Sus scrofa: one gene and its partner. The protein of the gene in region 2 interacts with the protein of the main gene of each other region in a pairwise test. Links are inferred from orthologs where the notes say so. Each region holds a gene or a part of one and is shown on either strand. Other genes may lie near its edges.

Region 1 (3,571 bases), on a different chromosome or scaffold from region 2:
ACCAGCTCACAAATCTGATTTAGCTGGGGCACCAACCGAGCAATCGCTGCCAGGTGCTGCAGCTGTCTATCGAGCTAAGGCGTTTTCCAAAAGCTCGGCCACTCTGGGAGTGAGAGGAACCAATGATAACTGCGCTCTTCCACGTGGAAATAAGCTAGAAGCGGAAAGCCGGAGGCAACTGTTCTCCCACCGCCACCCCCACTACCAAGACGCCACCTGGGGCTCCGCCGAGACAGGCCAGCAAAGGAGCCACTCGCTGACAAAAGAGCCCCTTCCAGCCCAGTGACAGCCACGTGGGAGCACCAGCCACCTGCAGTTCCCGTCGTGACTCAGCAGAAACGAATCCAACTAGGAACCCTGAGGATGAGAGTTCAATCCTGGCCCTGCCCAGTGGGTTAAGGATCCGGCGTTGCCGTGAGCTGTGGTGTAGGTTGTGGGCTCGGCTAGGATCCAGCGTGGCTGTGGCTGTGGTGCAGGCCGGCAGCTGCAGCTCCAACTCGACCCCTAGCCTGGGAACCTCCACATGCCACAGGTGTGACCCTAAAAAAAAAAAAAAAAACCTGGCACCAAGTTCACCCATGGGTAGGATTAGATGCCAGGAGGCACTGGCACCTCGTCAAGTCATAAATGGGCAGGGTTGAACCCAGAGGACACACATTTCAAGTAATAAAAATAGAAAAATGCACATAAATAGTTAGAACCTACAATTAAAACCTCTGAAGGGGATGGGTTAAAAATTACTACATCTGAGGCCAACTGGTCCGATACAGACTCTGGTTCAAGGACAGGAAGCTATTCTCAGGCAGCGGGAGGGGCCCGTGTTTGACGAAGCTGTGCTCCCCAGGGGATGGGCTGCATCTGCCATCCCTTCATGAAGGCGCTGCTATGTGTCATCTCAGCACAACTTAAGCTATGTGTTCCGGGGGGGATGCCTGTGACAGTTAAGGAAGGAGCGGCAGGGAGACAGCGGGACCCTGTGCAGGCAGAGGACAGGCTGCGAAAATCCAGAGCTGCTTTACCCAAGGACGTGGTGCTGTCCACTCGCTCAGCATCTGGAGAAGAAAGGAAAGGCATCAGCACAGCCGAGACCTCACAGCGCTGCCTCCGCAGGCAGCCCAGCTCCCGCCACAGCCTCCATCTCCTCGCCAACGGCTCGGGGGAGGGGGTGTCACCATCCCTGCCACCCTCTCCAAACAAAAGCGCCTCAAGAGCGTAAGCCCACGGCCACAGAGTGCAAGTCCCCTGGCAGCCTGTCCATCCACTCAGCTGCCAGGGTCCAGCAAAGGGGGCGTCCGTGGGGACAGGAAGCCCTGCCATGAGCGGCGCTCCGAGGCCAGGTTAAGCCCGCAGTGGGGGGGGAGGCTGCCCCCTCCACACTGAGTGGCACATTTGACTCTGCTCTCGGTCCAGGACCCCAACCTCACCTCCACAGTATCTGGGCACCAACTGGGAGAGCAAGGCACCTCTCTGAGCTTGTCTCAGCAGCTTGAAAATCACCTACTTAGTAGCAGTGGATACTGTGACTCAAAATGCTATACGGAGTTCCCACTGGGGCTCAGCAGCTTCCTGACTAGGATTCCTGAGGATCCCTGGCCTCTCTCAGGGAGTTAAGGATCTGGTGTTGCCATGGCTGTGGTGTAGATGCAGCTGGGATCCCGCGTGGCTGTGTCTGTGGCGTAGGCCGGCAGCCACGTCTCCAATTCAGCCTCTAGCCTGGGAACCTGCATATGCCACAGATGAGGCCCTCAAAACCGAAACAGGTAAATAAAGTTGTATATAAAAATACATAGAAATGAAAGACACTCAAGAATGTAAATTCATAGCAGTGTGTTACACACAACGTTCCCCTCTCTTTTTCTTTGTAAAACTACCACCCTAGTTACACTCTTATCAATGGAAATGCAACTAAAATGGTCCACCTTGCTCATGACTAGTGATTTTAGGAAGGACTAGTGGCAAGAACCAAGCTGCTGGATCACACGTGCAGTCAGCCACCCCTGACCGTCGCGTCCTCGGGTCTTCAAAGCCATTGCCAGCACCCCCAGCCATCTGTGCGGCTGACCCACCCACCGCCAGGGTGACTGTCTGGTCTCCTGTCACGGTGACAGGAGAGCCAAAGCGGACCTTTCCCGGCTGCCGTTCTTCGTGCTCCCTGACACTGAAGGCAAAGCCATGACCTGCCCGGTGGGAGGTGGCCCCTTGTCGTGGTCATTCCTGGCAGGTGGTCACCCCCCCCCGCCCCCCCCGCCGGAGAAGTGAGGGCCGGGGCAGGGTTAAGGGTGCTGCACTTGGCACCACAGGGAGAAGACGCTAGGGGAAAAAGGCAGCTCTTCCTACAGTCATCCTGCGCCTCTGCAGTTGTAACTTTAAAAGGCACGGACAGGGTAAAGCAGTGAGAAACCTGCGGTTCAGGTTTTCGGCGTCACGGCTGAAGGAGCCGGCTGGGAGCTGGCTGTCTCGGTTAAGGGAGTTGGAAGCACGGCCTCTCCCCTGAGACGGGCAGACGTGGACAAGCACGGCTGTACGTGTCAAGTTCCAATTACCCCAACCTTCTCTCTGTAAAGTGCACAGAGACGCTAAAAAATAACTGGAAGACCAGTGGATCCAAGAGTATGAAAAACTCCCTCTTGGTTTTATTTTACGGCATGTCAATCATACCTACCAAAAGGGGAGAAACGGGAAGAATCCTCGCGGTTTTGTATACGGAAGCAAGGCAAATTCCCGTACCTGGGCTTGGCTGCTGGCAGATCTGCGAGGCGAGGTCCTGCACGTACGCCGGGAAATAGTCGAAGCAGTCCCCGTAGGACACCACTTTGATCCCGTGCAGCAGCATGTCTGCCTGGTGCTTAAAGAAGTGGTCCTCGCTCTCCTTGAGCACGACCATGTAGTGCTCCAGATCCACCCTGTTGGGCACCGAGTAGAGGAAGAGGGCTTGGAAGATCTGATCCCGCAGCGTCTCTCCGCAGCCCACAAACAGGAACGACTTGGTGCGGTACAGGTTCTGGAGAACTTCCTGGGAGGGAACCGAGACGCTGAGCTGCTCATCTGAAAGGGGGTCCGGTCCCATGACTGACCCCAAAGTTACATCTTTGTGCTTTCATTTTTTTCTTTCTGGCCGCTTGTGGAAGTTCCCAGGCCGGGGACCCAACCTGCACCACCGCAGGGACAACGCCGGATCCTTCACCCACTGAGCCACCAGGGATGAGCCACCTACATGATGGCCCTTTTAAATCCCTGCTCCCTGACGGGGCTCCCCCAGGAGCCACACGAGGAACAAAGAAGAAGAAAGGGAGTGGGAGTTCCCGCCGTGGCTCAGCGGTGACGAACCCGACCAGTATCCATGAGGATGCAGGTTCGATCCCTGGCCTCGCTCAGTGGGTGAAGGGTCCGGCCTTGCCGTGAGCTGTGGTGTACGTCGCAGACATGGCTCAGAGCTGGTGTTGCTGTGGCTGTGGTGTAGACCGGCAGCTGTAGCTCTGATTCAGCCCCCTAGCCTGGGAACCTCCATTATGTGGCGGGTGCAGCCCTAAAAAAAGACCAAAAAAGAAGAAGAAGAGGAGGAGGAGGAAGG
Region 2 (3,571 bases):
CGAGGGTCAGAAGGGGCAGACCTGCCGTCAGGACGGCCGGCTCCCCTGCTCCCACCCCCCACCTCCACCCCGGCCTCGGCCCCGGCCAGGTGCCCCGGAGGCCACCGCTGCCTCCGGACGCCGGACACAGCGGCCACTCCACCCCTCCGCCCCACCGGCCACACACCCAGGTCACCTTCCACTCCTTCTTACCCATGTCCCCAGGTCCTGGTGACCTGCCCTTCACCACCCCTAACTCCTGCATGTCCCCGCAGGGCCCACCTCCTGGCTGCAGCCCGGGCCTCTAGGCAGGGCTGGCACCCAGCGAGGGGGCTGGGAGGACGGCCCGCCACCTCCCCTCCCCAGCCTGGGCGTCCCTCCCGTGTTGACCAGCCAGCCCAAGTGACCCGTCTTCTTCCACCCTGTTGGCAGCTTCGCCTCCAGAGTCCCGCCCTCTGGCCCGTGCCCACAGCTCTGCCGGGCTGTCCTGCCACAGCAGAACCCAAACCCGCCCGCCTGGCACACAGGCCCGCCTCGCCCTCCTCGTCCCACCTGAGCCGCATCACAGCAGAACCAGGGCGGCACGTCAGCCACGTACCACGTCCAGCAGCATCGACAGGTGTCCGAGTTCAAGCTTGCCGCCCCCGTGCGGCTCCGGCACCGAGAAGGAATAGACATCCCCAGACTTGTCCGCCACCAAGACCTTCTCCTCGGAGGCCGTGAAGGTCAGGGCCGTGCACCTCCTCACCACGGTCCTGGAAGGCCAGAGACACCACGGTCGGCAGACGGGGCTCAGGGCCGGGCCGCCCGCTGACCTGCAAGCCACCTGTCGGCTGCCCGCCCTGTGGCGGTCACCGAAGATGGTGCCCCCCAAAAGGCAATTGTGAGCATGGAAACAGCCAATGCCCGGACAGAGGTTACGTTATAATTTTCTCCTTCTAAAAACGTGCTCATGGCAGGATCTGGGTGGTGGGGAGCTAAGCCTCCAACACAGAAGCCTCTGGACTGCGCTGTGCTTGCAGCCTGCCGTAGCAGGATGCCTGGGCGCTTCTGAAAGGAGACCACGGCCAGCTCCCTAAACACCAAACTGTGGCCTCTGGGGCAACTGGCCGGGCACCTCCCGGACGCAATCAAAACCGCGCCGGACCCTCCTGGGTGGTGCGCTTCCCACCCAGGCCCACACTCCGACCCCAAGGCCTGCGCCCACCCACTGCTGGCCTGGCCACCTGGAGCAGGAGCCCACCCATGCCACTCATGCGAGACACATGAAAACGAGAGCCCATGATGCCCGGTGCCAGGCGGACATGCCACGGGCAGCGAGACGGCACCACACCCTCCGCTGGGCAGCCCCAAGGGCACGGCACCAACTCAGATCCCTGATCTAGAGCCACAGCATCTGTCACAGCTGAGAGCTGGTTCAATGATGAGCTGGTCAGGGACAAAATGACACACAGGGACACGGGCCCCACAGCCCGCCTGCGCACCCCAGGGTCCGGGGCTAGGCTAGTTCCTCCTGACTCCGTCTCTCACTATTCCTACCAGCCTCTCCACGAGCAGGTGTCTGTAGGTCTATTTTACGTTGGACACTAGCCCTGACGCTGCTTTACAGACGAGGCCTTACGTTCATCCGCACATGGCCTCGTCACAAAGCCAGTCCCAGCTTGCTCATCACCCGAGGGCTGGACGGGGACCCACTGTCCCCGTAGAGAGCTAACACCCTGCAGAAGGTGCCCGGCTCATGGCAGCCGGACTCCAGATGTTGGCCTGATGAAGCTTCAAGGAATCGCCTCCCCAGCACAAGGGCCAAGGGACCCTGCCCTCCCCGCAGGAGGGACAGGAGCACAGAGAAGCAAGCAAGTGGGGCCACACCGGGCTGCAGGCGCTGGGCTCCCAGGCGCAGCCGGAGTGCTTCCAGGGCAGGGGCAGCCTCAGCAGGAGGAGAAAGGTGATAAATAGGGGGAAACAAAGACACGCTCCAGGGCGTGATTAATCCGAATTCTCCCAGTGCCGGTAATTTAAACAAAGTCCTGCACCAGCAAAGCAGCTGCCTGTCCTAAAGGGCAAATCAGGCAGCTGCCAGGAGCACAGCCACAGCCTTAGCCTTCCGGGGGCGGGGCCAGGGCCTCTGGAGGCGGGGCCCCAGCCTTGTGGCACAGGTCTCGGGCCTTCCTGAGGGAGTAAGGGGCTTGGATTCCAGGGAACTAGGCCCACCTCCCACTGCATCCCCTCCCACCAGCTGGGCACAGATGTGGCACTCCGGATCCTGCCCCTCAGTGCTCTGCCAGCTGAGGGCTTTCAGCTGCTCAGGCTGAATCCATCCTGGCAACAACTGAAGCACATGGCTCTGCTGCAGGGAGCAGGTCTCGGTCGGAGGGCACCGGGTGGCAGGTGGGGGGCAGGTCATCAGCGGTAGGCGGGCCATATGGTGACCGCGAAAGGAGGCCAGGCACCCGCCTTCAGCCTCCGCAGGGCCTGGGGTCTCAGCACCTTCCCTGCCTCCACGGCATCCTGATCCCTGGCCCAGGTCCCCCCGGGGCCCCCAGGGTGGTGTGGCCCGTCCCCTCTGCCAGAGACAGAGGAAGTGCCCGCTGGGGCAAGCTCGGAGCTGGAAGCGAGGCCGGGCGAGTATGAACGCACTAGACATCAGCGGCACCAAGGGTCAGGGCCTATTGACCCGAAGGGGGGCCTGTGTCCCCAGAGCAGACGGCTGCCAGGTCCGACGAGTGCTGTGCCGGCCAGAGTGACGTCTGCCAGCCCAGCGGGGTGAGGCAAGGGAAGCACAAGCCGCACCCACCTCCCTCTGTGCTCCCCCAGAAGCTCAATCAGAGAAGGTAAGCGAGCTCAGGGAACCTACAGGACAAGGCTGGGGGTTGGGGGGGAAGCGGCCACCTGAGGCTGGCCCTGGCCCCGCCATCACCATCACCTTCGGGAGGCTGCCCTGCACCAGGGCAGGCAGGGCCCTGGCACCTCAAGGTCAGCAGTCACTTCTCCCACTCCCGTACCACCTAAGGCAGGCATCTACACAACGTTATTGCGTTGATGCCAACTTAAAAACCCGGCGTATACAGCAGAAATGACCACATCAAACACATGCCTGTTTCAACTGACCTCGAAGCCTCACTACCTTTATGCTCTATCCGTGACAACCTGGAGAAGCAACTACTCGTTCCTGCAACATAGTTGGAGACCAAATAAGAAAGACTTAAGAGGACTCTATTACATCACAAGACACAGAACATGTATAAACGAAAACTTAGGAGTTCCCGTCGTGGCGCCGCGGAAACAAACCCAATTAGGAACCATGAGGTTTCGGGTTCGATCCCTGGCCTTGCTCAGTGGGTTAAGGATCTGGTGTTGCTGTGAGCTGTGGTGTAGGTCGCAGATGCAGCTTGCATCCCTTGTTGCTGTGGCTCTGGCGGAGGCCGGAGGCTACAGCTCTGATTCTACCCCAGCCTGGGAACCTCCATATGCTGCAAGTGTAGCTCTAAAAAGCAAAAAAAAAAAAAAAAAAGGTCGATGGTTCATTTTTGTTCCCACTCTGTACTTCCCTGAGGCTTCTAAATTTTACGTGAACCAAAAACTTAAAGGGAGA

Evidence for each region. The genes of interacting proteins can lie anywhere in the genome.
Region 1: the proteins of WDR4 (region 2) and FAM118A interact in binary tests that used the Homo sapiens proteins (3 or more experiments, as listed by UniProt). The two-hybrid records come from large-scale screens. The link is inferred for Sus scrofa from reciprocal best matches to the Homo sapiens genes WDR4 and FAM118A.

Annotation. Positions count from the first base shown.
Region 1 is NC_010447.5:4,082,080-4,085,650, forward strand, and holds part of FAM118A (protein FAM118A), read right to left. Parts: intron 3,014-3,571; coding exon 2,728-3,013; intron 1,053-2,727; coding exon 1,020-1,052; intron 1-1,019.
Region 2 is NC_010455.5:206,084,637-206,088,207, forward strand, and holds part of WDR4 (tRNA (guanine-N(7)-)-methyltransferase non-catalytic subunit WDR4), read right to left. Parts: intron 735-3,571; coding exon 578-734; intron 1-577. UniProt on the Homo sapiens protein: Non-catalytic component of the METTL1-WDR4 methyltransferase complex required for the formation of N(7)-methylguanine in a subset of RNA species, such as tRNAs, mRNAs and microRNAs (miRNAs).